Linked DNA regions of Lonchura striata. Each later gene encodes a partner of the first gene's protein in a complex. Links are inferred from orthologs where the notes say so. Each region holds a gene or a part of one and is shown in the gene's direction. Other genes may lie near its edges.

Evidence for each region.
Region 2: the proteins of PAWR (region 1) and SPSB1 are in contact, whole or in part, in a crystal structure (PDB 2JK9), measured with the Homo sapiens proteins. The link is inferred for Lonchura striata from reciprocal best matches to the Homo sapiens genes PAWR and SPSB1. Residues at the interface, in NP_001341661.1 of Homo sapiens: Glu68, Leu69, Asn70, Asn71, Asn72, Leu73, Pro74; in NP_079382.2 of Homo sapiens: Arg77, His78, Pro79, Val80, Ala81, Gln82, Gly110, Thr111, Tyr129, Val216, Trp217, Gly218.

What each region holds. Positions count from the first base shown.
Region 1 is NC_134607.1:48,542,966-48,553,158, reverse strand, and holds the start of PAWR (PRKC apoptosis WT1 regulator protein), read left to right. Parts: upstream 1-6,051; 5' UTR 6,052-6,056; coding exon 6,057-6,533; intron 6,534-10,193. UniProt on the Homo sapiens protein: Pro-apoptotic protein capable of selectively inducing apoptosis in cancer cells, sensitizing the cells to diverse apoptotic stimuli and causing regression of tumors in animal models.
Region 2 is NC_134626.1:1,321,029-1,331,199, forward strand, and holds the start of SPSB1 (SPRY domain-containing SOCS box protein 1), read left to right. Parts: upstream 1-5,886; 5' UTR 5,887-5,974; intron 5,975-10,171. Other genes in the region: H6PD (GDH/6PGL endoplasmic bifunctional protein), read left to right, coding at 1-67. UniProt on the Homo sapiens protein: Substrate recognition component of a SCF-like ECS (Elongin BC-CUL2/5-SOCS-box protein) E3 ubiquitin-protein ligase complex which mediates the ubiquitination and subsequent proteasomal degradation of target proteins.

The sequences.
Region 1 (10,193 bases):
GGATTTGGTTTCTAATTATTCATTTGCTTGCTTACATTTAGAGATACAGAAAGACAGGAAAAGAGTTTTCTTTGGTACAGACCAAAAATCTGTTTAACAATGTTTTAAACTTATGAGCTAGCTGCATAGAGGTCACAGAAGTATCTTGAGTTGGGTGGGACCCATAGGGTCATTGTGTCCAACTCCCTGTTTCTGCAGAACTATCTAAAACTAAAGCAGGCATATGTCAGAGGGTGCTGTCTTTAAAAAGAATGAGTAGGCTCCATACGTGCTGGAAACATCATAAAAAGGATAAGATAAGGTTATCTTATAAGGTAGTTTACACCTATGATATTATTTCTGTCACATGGAGCAGTACAGTCAGCTCTTTATCAGCAAGGTGATAGACAGGATCTTAAATGGCACAGCAGTGGGGTAACTAACTCTCCACTAATGAAGATGGTGGCAGGCCAGCTGCCCATTTAGGGCATTCCCAAGAAATCAGGACTCTAGAGGACAACGTGGCACAAAGACAGGCCCTAGAAAACACCCAAGGCTGGCTTACATCCTTTAAGCATTCTCATCACACTTCCAAAGCCATCTGCACAGATGCTGAATCCATTCCCAACCCCACTGTCATTCTTATCCAACAACTGCCAACTGGAGACAGATGGAAATCTCTGAATTATTTTTTCATACTGTAAGATTAAATACTTAAAAAAAAAATACATCAAGCAAACTTCTGTCAGTTTGTTTTTTGCCTTTTGACACTGCATTCTTCCATCAGACAGATGATAAGCTTTGCTGCAAGAAACAATACTAGTTTGTCTGTCAAACCAAACTAGTTCAAAGAAACTACTTAGCTTTTTGGTGAAATGATAGCAGAGTTCAAGAATGGCAAAACACATACAGAAATAAGACTAGAGGATGCACTCAGTAATGCCTGCTGATAAATCCAGCTATTTCACAAAGCTGTTTTATTTACACATAAGATTTCAAATCAGACCTTAGCACTTTAAAAAAAAAAAGGTTTAAGCATGCAACTCGGTATCACCGCAAATAGGATAAAAATGGCATTTCATTAAAAGCAGGATTGTCAGATTTGTGCAAGTTTGCAGACACAAAATGTAAGAAAGCAATCCATTTAAACCACTGACTACAGCAACTAGAACATAATGAGTTGTTAGAACCTTAGAGAGGGAAACCTAGCCAGAAGGTTAGCACTATGCCCCCCATCTGTAGTGAGGGGGAAAAAGAGAAAAATTTAATCAATTTCTGCAAGAAAAGTTGAGGAAATGGAAAATCCCTGATGATAGGCTAAGCCTCTCAGAACAGTGTACATAGCTCAAAAGTAGCAGATAGTAGTATTAAATTGAAAGGGATAGCAGTTCACCTGCATTTAGACAAAAGCACCCAAGACCACTAGCAATAAAAGGTTAAAAAGGAGGATTATATGCTTGAGGACTATTTTACTTTCAGGTGAGATTTGACAATAGAAATGTCATGGAACATAGGCAGGGAATTTATGGTAAGATTAGACAGAAGTTACAGCCAGAGATTTAACACGAAAGGTTTAAAGAGAGGTTTTTGAAATTTTATGGATAAAAAGAACAGCTGTTCCTACAAAAATATGGCTGTAAGATTTCACTAAATCACAGCAATTTTAAGCAACAGCATTTCTGGACAGATAGTGCAGAAATAAGCAGGTAGGTGGGTTAGTTAGGGTACAGTGATATGGGTGAGGGTTATCCAGAAAGTAAAATTTAAAGCAACAGAGAGGGAAAGTTTAGTGGAACATCATCAGTGCAAGCTAAATAAACCTAGTTTAATAAAGCGTGAGTGATAAAGCAGGTAGAGCAAGTATGTGACTGTAGAAGTTTGGACTGGGAGAAGAAAGATGAAGAATGATGAGTGAATGAACTTCAAAGAGGATCCAGTATGGGAAGCAGTAGGCAGGTGCACCAAGTGGAAGAGTTTCATGGAAATCCCAGTAATAGGCAGAGGCAAAGTCTGGAGCAGAAGGAGGAGCATGTGTGTTTGAGAATCAGGCAGGTGAACACAGAGACTTTGGGGAGAGATGCTGAAGAGCGTGAGATGGAGGGAATGTTTCAGTGCAGAACACGAATGTATATAACAAATGTTTGCTAAGCTCAGAGTGTGATGGTAACAAGTAAACAGACACTGGGCAGGAATTTGGATGTTGTCCTTAATTTCCTCAGCCATTAATATGCTATTATGTTCTCTATTTTATTTTCCAGTTCTTGAAAATTGCCACTTCAGAAAAGATTATGGCTCAGATAAACTTGAATTCAGAACGTTAATAAGGTTGGATAATTTGGCTTAATCTCTAGAAGAAATTATGAAGACCTGAAGCAGCTTGCAACCCTTTACAAAGAAGGCAGCTTTGAAGTGCCCAACCCCAAAAGGCACTTCATTTCCTTGTGATTTTAAGAATGAATCATGGGTTTTACTCTAAATTAAAAAATGAAGTATTTTTTTCCATGGCAAAGGAGACCAATATCATCCTACCCAATCCTGGTGGTAATTTTACCTCTAGGGAAGAATGTCATTCCAGAATATATAAAAACCAATATCTTAAGGCTTAAGGACCCTTACATTATGCCAGCTTAAAACATAGCTAATAAAATGAATTGTATTTCTAGGACTTAAGGATATCTTGAAGATTAATTTTCCTTTGTAAGAAAAGAGAAAAATGTTGTTCTAAAAACGTTTGTAAGCTATTAAACTGTTCTCCCTTGTGGCAGAGGAAAACAGATACTTAAACTATTTGGGACTTTATCCCTGAAAGCTCTCCAGCACAGACAACCTTATTGAGATGCAAACATCTGACAGTCAGCATTTCTGTATTGGGCACTTAAGCCCAACCTCACTCACCACAACATAACTTTTGTTAATTTATAACAGACTATAAAACAAACAAAGCGTTTTTGGCACAAAAAACAAAACAAAACAAAAAAGCACCAAAAAACCCCAAACACCCCCTTCCCCCAACCTCACAATGTTTTTTACAGTAGAGAGAAAAAAACCAGCAGTGGTAGATGCAGCTAAAGCCTGGACATGTCAGCTCCTACACATAAGAAAGGTGAGCACATGGGACATGAAGTGGGGCAGGCACATCTAAGCCTTGCTAGCTGCTACAGATTGCCACAGAGAGAGGGGCTCAAGGGGCAGCTGGCATGACCTGGGTAACAGAGAACTGAGCGTGTCCTAAGAACTAAAGTACATTGTTGTATTTCTCAATATACACAACATGCTGTATACACAACAACTTTCTAATATGACTGTTTTGCTAATATTTGGCCAGCTGTGCTGCTCATGGTGTGTAATAATGAGGGTGAAATACTGTATTTTCACAATCATATGATTCTCTCAAGAAAAGCTCTTCATTGTATAAATGGGGGAAAAATTACATGATAGGAGTGACAAGAACTCATATCAGAAATCCTTTTTCTAGATTATGTTTTCTAGAAATACAATTGAGTACTTGACTAATTTAAAAACTACACATAAGAGTGTGGGTAAGAATTCTTTCTTCAAGAGAGTGCATAGTCAAAACTTCTTTTAGAACCAACTTTACTTATTTTGTACTGGCGAGTAGAAAAGAGTACCAGAACTATGTTTTTGCCATCTATTTTTCCGCCTACTTACAGCTTTCCAACCCAACACTGAATAACTAGCTGGTTTTGTTTGGGGATTTTCCCTTGGCTTGAAAGATAAGAGGTTTTGTCCGCAGTAATGAAGCTGCAACTTAACTTCCACCTATAATAACATTTTAATGCCTCTTCAAAACGAACCACCACACCAGAAACACCCCTAAATCCAAACCAGAGCAGAAATCAGATATGAGGTCAGTGAAAAGTCCAAGTAAATGAATGATCACCAGAAGGGCAGAGAAGGTTGGCAGGGTGAAACTGTGCCCACTGCTGTGAAAGAGAATGAAGTAGTGGCTTATTTAAGGCACAAGTGGCTACATGGACTAATCCTGTTATTCACATTGTGCAGAGAGCCTAGCAGCAGATACTTGGAGCTCCATTTTGCTGGATATTTTTTATCCGTATCACCTATATATTTATTTTTCTGTAAAAAGAAACTAAAAATAATTGCAAAGTTTATATTCTGAAGTATTACTGATTTTTTTTTAACTAGATGGACAAATTCAGGACTGAATCTGAAAAGAGGAGAAAAGGTGATCATGTGCTCTCAGCTAGGTAAATCCAGGCTATATGGATTTCCTCTGACTGATGCAAGCTTGTATCTTGTCCTGAGTCAGCTGGAAAGGTGGCACTGATACACTAATTTTCCTCAACATACCACTCATAAAGCACGATTAAGCAAGCCACAAATCTATTGAAAGCTGTGATTTTCAAAAGTACCACGATCCAGGGTGTTACAAAGACACAGTGAGTTCGAAAAACCAAAAAAACAGCTGAGTTTTCGGTGCACGTTTATCCATATTATCACCTACATAAGCTCTTCAACAGATAGCACATGCTCCCACCACGGTCCTTGCATGATCGTTTCCTAACATTTAACACAGTCAGGTTTCCCCACTGAGGGCTGTTATTATTTCTATACGAGACATCTGTCAAGTCTTTGCTGCATGACTGGCGGAAACCCCTTGAATCTTGGCGTCTTGTAACGTCAGGAAAACACAGGATCTTTCCCAACCTTCCGCCCCCGGGAGTGAACTTCCACCAGGCTAGCAGCAGCCTGCCCAGCACCGGCGCGGCCCAGAGGAAGCCATTCTGCCGCGGGAGCCACTGACCTCGGGCTCTTTCCCACCGCGCCCCGACCCCGCCGCACAGCGCGGCGGCGGCACCGCGCTTTGAGGCCGGGCCGGCGCGGCGCGTCCCCGACGCCAGCGAAGCCGCGGGCTGACCGCGCCGGGCTCCGCCGCGGCTCTCGGCGGGCCGGCGGGGACAGCGAGCCGCCCCGCCCAGGGCCGAGCCCGGCACCTGCCCGCGGGCGGCGGCCGCACGTCGGGGCCCTCCAGCCGAGGCTTTGCGGCAGGTGCGGGGCGGGTTTGGCGGAGCCCCCGCGGAGGGGTGTGACAGCGGACCGCCTTCTCCGGCCCCGCCCGGCGGGGCTCCGGCGGCCCCTGCCCGCCGCCCGTCAAAGCCGCCGGGGAAGCGGAGTGCGGCGGAGGCCGGCGGCGTCCCGGCCCGGGCATCCCCGCTCCGTTCCTGCCGCTCGTCGGGAGCGCCGAGGTCCGTGTCCGCCCCGCGCCGCCGCTGCCCGGGGCAGGTGCCGGCGCAGCGCTGCGGGCACCGGGCCGGGCGGGACCTCCCCGCCCTCACCCCATTGTCGGGGCCATCTCGGCAGTTTCCGCCCTGGCTTCGGCTGTGTCCGCGCCGCGATGGGGAAAGGGGAGGGAGCTCGGGAAGGCTCGGAGCCGCACCGCTCCTTCCGGGACGGTGGGAGGCGGTGCCGCTCACCTGGTGCCGCCGGCGCTGTGCAGCGCCCGATCCGCGGCCCCGCCGGGCGGGAGGTGAGCGCCGGCCGCGCTCGCCCCGCCCTGCTGCGCGCGGGAACGCGGCTCCCCGGGCAGGCAAGCGGGCGGCGGGGGGATGGCACCGGCTTCGGGGGACGGTACCCGATGGCCCGGGGCGAGGGACGGCGCTGCGCGGCCGTCGTGGCCGCAGCGGGCGGGCGGAGGAGGCGGGTGCTGCCGGGCGGCCCCGCGCCGAGGGGTGAGGGGAGCCCCGGGGAGCGAGCCGCGCCGGGCCGGGCGCCGCGGTCCGAGCCGTGGGAGCCGAGCGTGCGAGGGCGGCCGGTGATGGAGACCCGTCCCCTAGGGTCGGGGGCTTCCCGGGGAGGTCGCGAGGCGGCGGGACGGGGATGGGCAGTGCGGCGGGACGGCTCACGTCCCCCCTTTGTTTCTCTCCAGGGTGTTTGTGCTACTCCGAGCCTCTCTCCCCGCCCCCGACTCTCCCGCCCCCGTCTCTCCCGCCCGACCCGCCGGGACCTCTCCTCTCCGGGCGGCAGCAGAGCCGCCTCGGGGCGGGCGGCGGCAGCGGTGCTGGTGGGGCGCTCTCGCCGTCCAGCCCGCCGGGAACATGGCGACTGGCGGCTACCGAAGCGCCGGGGGTAGCACCACGGACTTTCTGGAGGAATGGAAAGCCAAGCGGGAGAAGATGCGGGCGAAGCAGGCACCGCCGGCCCCGGGCGCACCGGGCGGGGGGGAGCCCCGGCCTGCGGGGGGCGGCCCCTCCGCCGAGCTCCACAACAACAACAACAACAACCTGCCCCCCGACCGCGCGGCGCCCCCCGCCGGCGGGGCGCTGAACTGCGTCAGCCTCGCCAGCGCGGCCCTGGGCCGCGGCGCTCCCGCCAAGGAGCCGCCGCCGCCTCTCGCCGGGAGCCGCGGGGCCGAGCCCGCCGCCGCACCGGGTTCCCCCGAGGGCGAGGAGAAGCTGACCGCCAAGGGAAAGAGCTCGGGCCCCAGCGCCAGGAAGGGGAAGGGGCAGATCGAGAAGAGGAAGCTGAGGGAGAAGAGGAGGTCGACAGGTGTGGTGAACATCCCGGCCGCCGAGGTGAGCGGGGACGGGGGGAGGCGCGGCCGCGGCGGAGCCGCCGCTGCCGGGGAGCGCTCTCCGCCCGTGCCTGGGCTGCCCGCGCTGCGCCATGGGCCGCGCCTGCCGCGCGGGGGTCGGGGCACGGCGGCGTCCCAAGCGACGGACAGATGAGGTGTCATTTATCCTAAATAAATTAGACCTGTCGTAACTTGCGGCATTTTTTTTTTTTTTTTAGTAGCTTCTTGCCGGCAGAGAGCAAGTTCAAACCTTTTGGAGGATCAAACTGAGACGCGTGCCTGTTAAAAGTATGGTCGAAACAATAGTAATGAGAGAAAATTGATTTATCAGGTTGGAATAGATGTTCAGGTGTAAATATTATTCCGTTTGGAATCCAGAAGAATTTCCTGCTCTGGAAAAAATGTAGTGGTTTGAAGAGCATTTTTTTGAGGCAGAGGAAGATATTTTTATCAGCCAACACCACTGTCCTCTGCGGTTTGCTACTAGTATAAAAATCTGGCATTGATTTGTAATACTCCTAGAGGAATTCAGAAGAATGATAACTAAGCTTTTAGCTTGTTTTGCAGTTAATAAGAAAGGCCACAGGAAACTGAACAGAGTTGGATTTCTATCAACAGTTTTGCACTAGTAATGGTGATCACCATATTTTTATAGAAGAAAATTTGTACTTCTTCTGGTTAATATTATGGATTATTAAAGTAGGTCTAGAAAATTAAAAGTCTTTGTTTCCGAAGCAGCAGGAAAAGATGAAATCGTGTTCTTCACACCTGAAGTTACTAACCCTTTATTGTGACATCCTAGGCACTTTCACACCCTTTTATGTGAGGTGGTCTTGAAAGGTTGAGAAATGAGTTTCAGGAACAGTAGAAATCTTTATAACTGTGGTTTTTGAGATCAAGTACTGGCATACTCTTTAGTTTGAGGTAAAGAGTTTAGGCATAGGTCAGTATCATTGTTTTGTAAAGTGATGAATACAAGTGAGTTCTTTAAGTTTTTTCTTCAGGGTGTGCAAGCCTCGTAGACTGTACCTTGTTTGTTTTATACGGACCCCCTCCTAAATACCTGCCCCTTGTGCCTTTTTTAGGAACCTTAAAATGCTGCATCTTTACTTCTCTAAGTGAACTCATACTAGCCCAGTCAGTAATGGTTTTGCACATTGCAGTGGGTGTTGTATGACATGGTCTTTTAGGGGTTTCTGTTGTGTACCCTGTCCCTAGTTTTACTCTGGTTGGTTGGTTGGTTTTGAGCAGTGGGTTTCATTTTGCTCTTTGAGACTAACGTCCCAGTTCTTTGAAATAGATTTTTGAACTATTGTTCCTGTGGTAGTTTTTGGATGGTGTGATTTGGGGTTTGGTGAGTTTGCTTGTGGTTGGGGTTTCTGTTTGTTTGTTTTGTTCAAAATGTGTCTTGCTTTCCAGGAAAGCACATTCCTTGCTCCACAGCCATTAGAATCCTGTTTGAATTTGCTGCATTTTTAAGGGTATCTTTTTGTATTAAGGGTAATATATTTAGGCCTTGATAAATGAGTTCTCACCTGCTCCCTAAACTTTGCTGAGTGTCGCCACGTGTTGGCGCTTCTTGGAAACTTCTTGTACCTTTACACTAATTGCTTCTATAAGTAGCAATTAAGTATTTCACCACATTTTTGGGCTCAGATTTTAATAACTGTAGGTAACTGTTGTACAAGGTGTTATTGGGGAAGCTTGCTACTAGTAAGTGTTGCATTTTCTACCAGTGTAAAAAATGTACGCAGAGCTATCTCTTTTCAGTATTTCGCCTTTCTTAAATGTTCTTAAATGTTAAATTCATTGCCACATGCATTCCTGAGAATTGTTTAGCTAGGGAATACTAGATCATTCCTGGTAGCGAACAGCTTCAAAAACAGTCTCCAGTGTCAAATGTGAGTACCTACTTACAGGTTAATGCTTTGCAGACTATTTACTTGTCATGTCTTTCATACGGCTCTGTAGTCATGAGGAAATGTTTTAAGGTATTGATTCAAGCTGGTCAGCTGAAGTTCTCAGACAAAAGAAGGCTGTGATATAGATGATGGCTTGTTGGAGTAATCTGCAGCACTCCCATTTCTTGCTGTCTTTCTCACTTGATACTAGGCATAGCTTCACTGTGCAGTCAATACATAGTGACTTGGTAGTACACCCTGAATTTTACCATTTGTAGCTCTTCATGGTGTATGTTTTAAAATTTCTTCTCAGGAGATCTTATTTTAGAGCTTTGATTCGTGTTTCATTGTCTTATTTTTCAAGAAAATAATTTTTGTAAGAATGAAGTAGACATTTTGTGCTAAATATCTCCCCTTTATGATCATCATGCCACTGTGGTGGAGACTAGTGAGATCCCCTGAAATGAAAAATACCTGTTGAAAAAATGTACTCCTAAATGCTTTTCTGCCCAAAACTGAATACAAAAATAGTTTTTGCCCCAAATAAGTAGGATTTAATTTGATTTGCGATGGAGCTGGAGAATTTATTGATAGAATAAGAAAAGTTTGTGTTGTCCAAGTTATCTTGAAACAGGTATAAAGAATATTAGCAGATTACTTATTAATGATTAATTTCTCTCCTGTTCAGTGGGAAGATAATAGGGCCAGTTCTTAAAGAGTTCTGTGTGTTAAGTGTATTTTGTGTGGATGTTGGTGGAGGACAGAAACCATAGTGGAAACTGTGAAAGGTGACAGGTGGAAGTTGATAATGCTTTGTATTTAGAAACCACCATGATAAAAGTAAAGGCTGGTTTTTACCTTCTCAGCACTAGTGCTTATTTAAGTAATGGTGACTTTTGAAATACAATGTTTTTCCTTTGAGCACTTGTAAAATAGTTTCTTGAAAGCTGGATTTTGTCTAAATATTAAGTGCTGTGGGATTTGGGTTTTGTTGATTCATAACAATTCTTCAGGTTGTAAAAGGTAACTGAATTATATGCAATTACCATTACTATGTATGTTATCTTCCTTAAATATTAAATTATATAACCATTTTTAATTATGTTTGGAACGTGTTTCTCAGTTTCTCAGTTTGCAGGTACTAGCTTGATGCAGGTGTTGAGTGTACTTGCGGCATTTTTCTCATTTATGGTTGTGCTAAGGCCTACTTAAGAAACACAGAGCTCCCATTATTTACTGACAGTGCTTTGTGAGGATCCATATATAGGATGAGAGTTATGTTTTGTATTGTTATAATAATTATGTCTAGCTCCAAGCAAGCCAGGCTGTGCTGGTGAAACTGCAGCTTTACTTCAGTAACTTTACGTTTGAGGATTATGCTGGTATAGCTGTGTGAGTAAGGTTTTTTTGGTTTTTTTTCTGAACTTCAAAATGGAGAGTAACAAATATTTTTGTGGTTATTTTTGAAAAAAAAGGAGTATATATAACAAAATCTTCATTTAGGAAGGACAGTTGTATAGTTGGGTTTTATGTAACATGTGCAGTATAGATAAAGTTTACATTTCTACTTAACCAGATGAAAGTGATCTAAGTTGGGCAGTGTTCTTTTGTTAATAACACAATGATGAATGATTTAAAAAGGTGTAAGGAACACTGATTTGTGTATTTTGTACCTGAGGCTGCCAGACCCGAGACACAAGTCTCCTGACCTGTTCCTGGGAAATACTGCAGTGAAAGGTGGAAGTAATTCAAATACGGAC
Region 2 (10,171 bases), on another chromosome or scaffold:
CTCGGGCGTCAGCCCCAGCTCGGGCCAGCTGGTGTGGTACGTGGATTATGAAGCTCTGCTGGGGTGACGGCTGCACAGGGTCCCTCCTCTGCCTTGTCTGCGTGGCCTTTACAGCCTGGATTGTCCTGCACCATGTCCTCGTTCCTCCGTGGCCAGCAGCAGCTTCATCCCTGACACCTCCAGCATCTGGGAGCACCTCTGACATTTGAGCCTGGAGGAGCTGGGCTCAGTGGCCAGAGCTCAGGAGGAGCCAGGAGCCCAGTGCAGCTTTCTGGCTCTGCTCTGGGTTCTGACTGACACTTTGGACAAACGACTTCACCTTGAAGTGCCTCAGTTTCCCTGTCAGGCCTTTGTGCTTGCTGGCGTGTACCTACCTCGCAGGCACTTTGTTAAATCAACCGCCTGCCAAATTCTTTCTAATTTTACATCATTCTCAGGCTAAAAGACAGCAGCACCACGCTGATGCCCTGCCCTGCTGGGCCTGGCTGGGCAGGCTGTGGTCTCAGGGCAGTGATGGTGGTGTGCACGTGCAGCCCCGAGCCTCTGCCAGGTGCCAGAGCCTGCGGGCAGTAGCTGGCTGCCTCCGTGGAGGGGTGGCTGTGCCACGGGGCACAAACTGCTCTGGGGGCTCCCAAAATGATGGGCACAGGCTGAGGAATTGTGGCAGCTCACAGAGCTGTGTTTCCAGCAGCGCAGCCATCACCGGGGGAAAGCTTGCTGCTCAGAGGAACTGCTGGCTTTAGGAATCTTTTCTTTTTAAACCAAAATGCCCATGTTAACTTCATTCCAGTTCTTTGTATTTGGTGTGAGGGAACAAGTTTTAATGAGGAAATGACCAATGAGAGAGTAGCTATATTGTTAGGAATAACAGGGTTTATTCCTCGCTTACAGATGACTGTAGCATTAGAGTTTTCCTATTTTTGTACACTTGCTTGATAATATGTGGCTGGCACCTCTTGAAATAAACACTGAAACGTTTATTTGCACTTTGAAATAAGCACATGGGTTTTCCCCAGGGAGCTACTGTTCTTTGCAGCTGAAAATAAGGTTTATTTGTGAAGTCTCTATCTAGTGGGTCACCCCAAAATTTATCAGAGATTTTATTAAAATCCATTCAAAGTTTCCACATGTTTTCCTTGGTGAGTGGAGCTATCTGGATTCTTTGGGGGATTTTTCAGAAGTATATTTTTTTCCACACAGACAGTTTCTGTTAAACTCTTTAATACTTAGCATTTGCTAAATGAAAACCAAATATTTTTGCGTATACAAAATTTATGTCTGGAAAGAGAGAGACTGGATGGGAAGAAGGGTTAAATGAGCAACAAATCTGATGAGGAGGAATGGCAGCAATCCACTGGGCTGTAGGCCAAGGAAGCAGGGCTATTTTTATTTTGTGAAAGTTATTAATAGAAGGTGTGCACCTTCTTAAGAGCTTGTATTAATCTTTCTTTGCAAAGGCAGCTCCATGGAGTAACTTCTTAGAGTCTGTTTCTCCCATGAGTCATTATTGATACTGATTTTTATCAATTTTTTTAATGTCAAGTGCATTCCTACAATTCAATGGTATGATTATATGTTTTACAGAAAACTGGAAATAACTAATTTTTAAATTCAACTTTTATAAATCAAATTGTAAAATCTCTTTTTTTTCCCCGCGAGTAAAGTTTTGTGATTCTTTTGATGTTTAATGAATGGAGAATTATACTGATAAAAAATAGTTTTTAACCAGAAGTGTCTTTTAATTTCTTCCAGAGATGGGTGGTCTTTCCCTGTCGTCCTGGTGAGTGAAATTTCAGGGTTTTAGTTGTGCAATGCCACAATGTCACTGCAGTGTTAAATGTTCACTCTGACTCTTGCTGTTTGGTTTCTTCATCCAGGCAAGGCCAGGACTTTTCAAAGTAAGGAGCAGCCAAAGCCCTTTTAAGGTGAGAAGATGGAATCACCCAGTGCTGTGCAGGGTCCTGGAAAGGCCAGGCCAGGAAATCTCCCCTGCTCCACATTTCCATTGCATTTCCACGGACACTGTCAGCCCAGCACAGAGTTCTCCAGAGCACACACTTCCCAGAGCTGCGTTTTTGACTCTGAGCTCAGGGGCTGCAGCTGAAGTTGCAGCTGAGCCCAGCTGTGGCTCGGGGCTGGCAGGGCCCGTGGAAGGTCCCAGAACTGAGTCCTGACCTCCAGCTGATTGCCACAGGAAAATCCCAGCTGACCCCTCATCCAGGCAGGGAGGGGAGCAGCAGCAGCTCCATCGCAGTGCCATGGGGAACGCTTGGCTCTCCTGGCAGGGGAGCATGGCAGGAATTAAATCAGTGTTCTTGCTGCACTGCTGCTGATGCACCCGTGCTGGTTTTCCTGGGAGGAAGGGCTTGGAAGGAAGGGCTGTTTTCCCTGCAGCTGGAAGGGCTCTGCAGAGATGCAGGGATGGCACTGGTGCTGCAGCAGTGCAGGGCTGGCACAGGGTGTTGCAGCAAAGCAAAGCTGGCCCTGCTCTCACACACCCAGAATTTCTCTGTACAAGGATTTCCTGCAGGAGCTGAGTGTCCAGCACAGAACTGACCCTGCTCAGTGTCCAACACAGAGCTGACCCTGCTCAGTGTCCAGAACAGAACTGACCCTGCTCAGTGTCCAACACAGAGCTGACCCTGCTCAGTGTCCAACACAGAACTGACCCTGCTCAGTGCCCAACACACAGAGCTGACCCTGCTCAGTGTCCAACACAGAACTGACCCTGCTCAGTGTCCAACACAGAACTGACCCTGCTCAGTGTCCAGAACAGAACTGACCCTGCTCAGTGTCCAACACAGAACTGACCCTGCTCAGTGTCCAACACAGAGCTGACCCTGCTCAGTGTCCAGAACAGAACTGACCCTGCTCAGTGCCCAGCACACAGAACTGACCCTGCGCAGTGTCTGGCACACAGAGCTGACCCTGCTCAGTGTCCAGTACACAGAACTGACCCTGCTCAGTGTCCAGCACACAGAACTGACCCTGCTCAGCGTCCAGCACACAGAACTGACCCTGCTCAGTGTCCAACACAGAACTGACCCTGCTCAGTGCCCAACACAGAACTGACCCTGCTCAGTGCCCAGCACACAGAACTGACCCTGCTCAGCGTCCAGCACACAGAGCTGACCCTGCTCAGTGTCCAGCACACAGAGCTGACCCTGCTCAGTGTCCAACACAGAACTGACCCTGCTCAGTGCCCAGCACACAGAACTGACCCTGCTCAGCGTCCAGCACACAGAACTGACCCTGCTCAGTGCCCAGCACACAGAGCTGCTCTCCTTTGCAGAGGAGCTGCTGCAGGTGCCTTTCCTCGGCTCTTCTGAACCTCTCTGGAGCCAGCTCTGCCAGCAGCAGAGGGTGCTGCTTGCCCGTGCTGCTGAGAGCCTTTTCCCAGCCCTCCCCTGCCCAGGGCTCAGAGGGCTCGGGGCTCTCTGTGTGAGCAATGGGATCCCCTCTGCTGCAGCCTGCCAGCTGCAAGGGCAGTGTCCCTCCCATCCACAGAGTCTGTCCCAGCCTCACACGCCATGCTGGGAGCCCCAAGGATTTAAATATTTCGCTTCAGACATCCAAAAGGGTTTTCAGAAGGTGGATGCTCATCCCTGTCAGTCCCCAGGGCTAATCTGTAGCGCTGAATGCTGATCACAGGAAAGCAGCCCTGCCAAGCCATTCCTCCTCCTGCCTTCCTTTCAATCGTCTCAGCAAAAACTCACAAGGATGGGAGCTGGGAAAGTCTCAGCTAATCCAGGCTCCATCCCCAGCCAGTTCTCCAAAAAGGCTTAGAGGGATCCCATTGCAGGCCACAAACGCTGGCCCCTGTCACTCACCCCCTCTGCCTCTGTGCTGCTGTTTGAGATGGAGACAGCGCTCAGAGCAAGCGACTGAAGGTCAGCAATTCCTGCTTCTTGAGGAAGCAAGAAAGACAAATGCTAAGGAAATAAAAGCAGACAGGATTCCATAGGAGCTGTGATCTCATCTGGCGAGAAGCCACCACAAAGCTGAGAAGTTCTGCTTCAGCACTTGTCATGTCTGGTTTCCTCCAGCTTCCCTGCTGCTCCTCTCACTCCTCCACCCCACTTCTCCCTGAAATTAGTGGGGGGAAGTAACTTAAATATGAGCAGGACCAGGTCAAAGCAAACTAGTTTTGAAAAAGCTACCCAAATATGTATCTATTTGACATAAACTCTCCTATTTTTATTTTGCAGGGTGTGAAAGAACGTATTTGTGCTGTATCTACAATGTCCCCGGTGTTTCTGGTCAGCTAGAGTAATAAATTTATTCTGATGTGAATGTGGTTTTTTTTTTTTGAAGGACCACAGTGGCTGGCATAGAGGAACTATTCCCCACAGATATCAAAATATGCTCAACAAATTATTGAATTAACCATGCTCTTTTTCCACGAGTGCCCCAAGACCATCAGTGACGAGAAATGTCAAGACCCATGCTATTGTCCAACCCCAAAAAGCAGTGACTGCAGCAGCGTGCAGGGGCATTCATTCCACACTGACTCAGATGGCAGGCTGCCACCTCCTGAATCACTCGCACCACTTCCTGCAGCTCCTAGGTGGTCCTTGGAGGTATCCCATGCAATATGGCTTGCTGAATTTATGACAATCCACGGCTTTACAGCTTGAGCAGCATCGCTACAAACCAGTCTTTTTGTCTGGAAACGCTGAAAAATTAATAATCTCAAAGGGGCACTACAGGGCCAGATTTGTCCGAAGGGTTGATTTTAGAATGAGGACTGAAAAGAACAGAATTGTACTTCCCTGGTTTATTTCTGTAAACACATGAGTCTTTAAGAAGCAAACAGACATTCCCAGGAGCGGTTGAAACAAATCACAGAATCGGTTAGGTTGGAAAAGACCTCTGAGATCACCGAGTCCATCCTGTGACATAACAGCACCACGTCAACCGGAGCATGGCACAAAGTGCATTTCCTAAACACCTCCAGGCACGGAGACTCCGCCGCCTCCCTGGGCAGCCCCGTCCCGCGCCCGATCCCCGTTTATGTGCAGAAACGCGGGACCGGGACACCGAGGATGGAGCGGTGGCCGAGCGCCCGCACGGTGCGCGGGGATGCCAGCGCCACGCCCGGGGCTGGCCCGGTCTGCAGCGAGCGTGGGGAGCAGCGCGGATCTCACACGGAACGGAGCCGGCACCGGGGCGGGGATGGGCACCGGGGCGGGGATGGGCACCGGGGCGAGGATGGGCACCGGGGCCGGGATGGGCACCGGGGCGAGGATGGGCACCGGGGCGGGGATGGGCACCGGGGCCGCCGTGGGCACCGGGGCCGCCGTGGGCACCGGGACCGCCGCGGCGGGGCTGCCGCTGTGCCCCGCGATCGCGACCTCGGCCGGCGGCAGCGACCCGGCCCGGCTCCGATCCCGGCCCGGCTCCGATCCCGGCCCCGCTCCGATCCCGATCCCGCTCCGATCCCGATCCCGCTCCGTTCCCAGCCCCGCTCCGATCCCGGCCCGGCTCCGATCCCGGCCCCGCTCCGTTCCCGGCCCCGCTCCGATCCCGGCCCGGCTCCGATCCCGGCCCGGCTCCGTTCCCGGCCCCGCTCTGATCCCGGCCCCGCTCCGTTCCCGGCCCCGCTGGTCCCCAGCCCCGCTCTCTGCTCGGCCCCGCTCCGTTCCCAGCCCCGCTCCGTTCCCGATCCCGCTCCGTTCCCGGCCCCGCTGGTCCCCAGCCCCGCTCCGTTCCCGATCCCGCCCCGTTCCCGGCCCGGTTCCCGGCCCGGCCCCGCCGCTCCCCGGCCCCGCCCGCCGCCGGCGCTGCCCGGGCGGAGCGGCCGCGCCCCGGGCCGGGCCGGGGGCGGAGCGGGGCCGTGCCGGGCGCTATTTGGGCCATGTGATGCCGGCCCGGCCCCGCTGGGCGCGCCGGAGCAGCGGGCGCGGGGCTCGGCCTGCCCGGGGCACGGCACGGCACGGCGCGGGGCCATGGTCCGGCGGGCAGCCCGGGCACGGTAGGAGCCGGAGCGGGCGGGGCGGGGCGGCTCCGCGGCCTCTCCGCTCTCGGTGCCAGCGGAGCGGTGCCAGCCGCGGAGCCGGGGCGAGGCCGAGCGCTGCCGGGGCCCGGGGCACCGAGGGGGCGATGGGCACCGGGGGTCTGCAGCCGCACCGGGGATGCCGCGGGAGGAGCGGCTGCCGGAGCCCGGGGCCGGGTGCGGGTCGGAGCCCGGGGCCGGGTGCGGGGCTGAGCCCGGGGCCGGGTGCGGGGCTGAGCCCGGGGCCGGGTGCGGGGCTCAGCCCGGTGCCGGGTGCGGGGCTCAGCCCGGTGCCGGGTGCGGGGCTCAGCCCGGTGCCGGGTGCGGGGCTCAGCCCGGTGCCGGGTGCGGGTCCGGGAGCAGACAGCAGCAGCGGTGCCGATCGCCCCGGCTCGGGAGGGCAGCGGGGCTGTTCGCTCCGGGGCCGTGCTTACCGCGGGGGGCTCCGGAGCGCACCTTACAAGGTCTGGTTACTGTGTCTCTTTTCTTGCTACACGAACCTCTGCCAATGCAACGGGGGCTTACATAATCCTCCTGCTGGAGGACCTGGAGTGCTGTTGTAAGGTCAGTCTTGCTGTAGCCTCCTGCTGGACTGTGCCGTGTTTTGTCCTTATTCCCTGGCTAAAGTGAGCAGCCAGGGTGCCTGGTGACCATGCCTGATTCAAAAACTGTCAATTGTCTGAGCCATGGCTCGAGATAAGGAAGTTTACAAAACGATTGTAAAAGTGGGAGTTGCTCCTTGGAGAGAGATTTTTTTTTTTTTTTTTTTTTTTTTTTTCCCCATGATAGCGATGCAGGATGGCTCAATGAGCCTTTTGTCCCAGGAGTAATCTTTCCCACCCCTCTAACATCCGATTTCTACACCAGATGCAGCGTTGCAAAGCTCAGCGGCACAGACAGCTCAGTCTTGCTGGAGTAAGTTGGCTGCTGCATCGCCAGGACCAAACTGTGCAGTGCCTCCAGGGCCTCACAGTGACAGTGGTGTGGCTATGGGATGGTCAGAGTGGCTCTCCCAGCCTGCAAGGAAGGAAATTTCCTGGTGAGTTATTAAGGGAACAGCCAGGAACGCGACAGAGCCGTGCTGCTGTTTACAGATGTGGAGGAGCATCTTCCCTGAGCTGCCCGCGGGAGCTGCCCTGTCCCTCCCTGCCTGTCACCGTGTCACCGTGCTGGCCCTGCCCAGGCTCTCAGTCGTGGTGCTGATGGATATAAAAAGCAGCAATTTGCTCTTCACCCCCCTGAAAGGCAGGGGACGAGCTGCAGCAGCGGATTCCTCAGGGGATGTTGGGTTGTTGCAGTGCAGCAGCCTTTGCAGCCTCTCTCCTGTGCTCTGGAGGTCACTGAAGTGCACTGTGATGTGCTTTGGAGCTTGTTTGTAAACTGCTGGATGCTGCCGAGACGTGGGCTGGTGTTCCAGGAACTGGCCAGCTGCTACGTGCTGCGTTCGTGTGCAGCCACTGCTGCTGCTGGATGTGGGGAATGGCCTCTGCTTGTTGCTCTCCTGTGCCTGGGTTGTTTTTTTCCCCTGGACCCTCTTTCCTTCCCTCAGAAAAAGTGAAAGCAGTCTGCAAGGTCTGCTTGTCTTCTGAGGGCTAATTAAGAATTCATTAAGTTCCTGGAATTAAAATCTGTAGCTAATGAGCCAGTGAGGACACTGTGCCAGGGTTTGGGCCTGAGTGCAGACACTGCTGACAGATAATACTCCAAGTCACAATGTACCTTTTGAAGAACACGAGATGTGCATTGGAGTATGTTCTGTGGCTCTCGGAAGTTTGTGTCTTGCTCAGATTTTGTGGCTGATGCCTCTGCATGCTCTGGAATTGGCTCTGAGGCCAGTGCAAGTGGTGGCTGCGATTTTGGGCTTTAGTACACTTGTACTTCCTGAGCCTGGAGTCACCCAGGGCTGCTGCTGACAAGGGGTGAGGATTGACTGGGGCTGGCAGGGAGCACCAGTGAGGTGATTTCAGCTGGGCTGAGCTTATCTCCCTGCCCTGTGGCAGGAGCCTTGTACTTGCATTAACAGCTCAGCATAGCAGCAGCGAGGAGCAGCTGACAGACCCGCCTGAGCTGTGAGCTTCCCAAACCTGGTCTGTGGCTGGCTGCCCTCCTTTGTGTTTCCAGGTGTGTGGTGGAGCTCAAACCCACAGCTTACCTTGCCAAGGCACGAGTCAGACACCAGCTCTGTCAGACAAAGCTGTGTGGTGCCTGCAGAGTAGAAGTGAGTAAGTGTCTGGTACCAGACTGCAGTCACTGGGTTCCTTTGCTGGTGGCCTTTGCAGAATGAGCTCATGTCAAGGTGTTGACTCACTTTCAGTTACTGCACTGCTCTGGGAAACAAAGAAATCTTCCCTTGAGTTGCTCCATGTGAGTAACTGCTATAGCTGTCTCTGTTTCCATGAATAATTGCTGGGGGAAGAGAGCACTTGTCCTTAACAAAGATAGGATGTGGGCTACAGGTAATGGTCAAATACTCTCTGCTGAGTGTGAGAAAATATAGCTAAAAAATAACAGTTTCCAAGCACATGGTGGGGAAAATGTGCTGCTGTTAACAGTGTTTTCCCAGGGACTGCTAAAACATCCATTCCCTTTTAACTCTGCACTGCTCTGCCCTTAATGGTAATGCTTTGGAAACTCCTGGGATAAAGTAAATTGATCTGTGGTACTGGTCAGAAAATTCTCTTGCAGACTAAGTGGTTTTTACAGCCAAAAGAAAAATCCTTCTGGGTGTTAATTTGGTACAGGAACTGCTTTTATCTGTAGCTCTGGGGTGGCATGAGCTGCCTGAACTCCGGAGCGTTTAAGGGAAGGAGATACAAAAAAAATTCCCAGTAAGGTTGTGGGGGCAGTGGGGAAGGCACTGACAGAACCCTGAGCTGCAGCATGAGCCCTGTCCTGCTCCCAGGGAAACTGAGTCACTGTGCCAGCCCGAGGGGCTGCCTGGGGGCTGCAGGCTGCCCTTGCAGAGCCCTTCAGGGCTTTAGGAACCTCTAGCTCTTTAGGAAAGAGGAGAGGGAAGGTGTCCTGGAGCACAAGGAGAAGCTGTGAGTGCTGCTGCAGGGCTCAGTGCTGCCTCTCTTTGTCACACGTGTCCTGCCCGGGACTGCTCTGAATGTGCTGAGCTGGCACCGTGTGTGTGTGTGTGTGTGTGTGTGTGTGTGTGTGTGTGTGTGTTTGTGTGTGTGTGTGTGTGTTTGTGTGCACCAGGGAGCGGGGTTTGGAGGGATGAGTGCTGCAGGCAGGCACAGCTGTGGGCTGGCTGCCCCTTCCTCCACATCTCCTCCGTGTGTGGCCACGGCTCCCCAGGCACCCAGCGTTCCCAAAGGCAGAATTCCCAAAGGCAGAATTCCCAAAGGCAGAATTCCCAAAGGCTTTGCCTGTCTGCTGGCTGAGGCTGGGCTGGATGCTGCTTCCAGGCTTTATTTCGTGGGCTCTGCACTGGGCTGGTTCTGGCAGTGGGGTGGGAAAGGTGGGAAATGTCTTACCTGTGCCACAGGGAGGGGTGGGGGTTGGAAGGTGTGGATTTGGCACTGTTCCACTCCTGTGGGAGATGCCTCATCATCCTCCCTTCTGCTTTTATGTGTTGTACTTCAGCGTTGCAGGTCAGATTCGGAGCCTTTTGGGTTAGCATCTTTTTCTCATTTAGTAGAGAATCAGCCACATGGCTTTGCCTTAGCTTTTTTCCTTAATGCCGGAGGGTTTTGTCCACTGATGTTTCCTTGTCTCATGGCTTTGTGAGTTTTTTCTGTTCTAGAACATGGGAAGACAGACTTCGAGTGAAGCAGTGCTGCTGCTGTATAACAATAAAACTTCCCCTGGGAGGAGAAAGTAACACATTTCTTTGTTCTCTTACAAAGCTTTCTCTTTAAGGAAAAGCTTTTTACTTAAACAAACAAACAAAAGGACCCCAACAACCAGCAGCATCTGCCAGATACCAAAGTGAGAGCAATTGAGAGCTTTGGGGCAGAAGGTGGTGATATCTGGATGGAGTTACCAAACATGGGCTTTTTCTTTTAGCCTGGAAGGGGAATTTGATGAAGCTTCTAAGTCAGAGCAGCTGTGGGGATGCTAGCTTCAAACTGCTTTCTTTGGAGAGCTGCTGTGTTATCAAGTCAGGAATCTGTCCTGAGGAGATCCCAGATGGGGCCTTGACACCATAAATGTACAAAGGCACTCAGT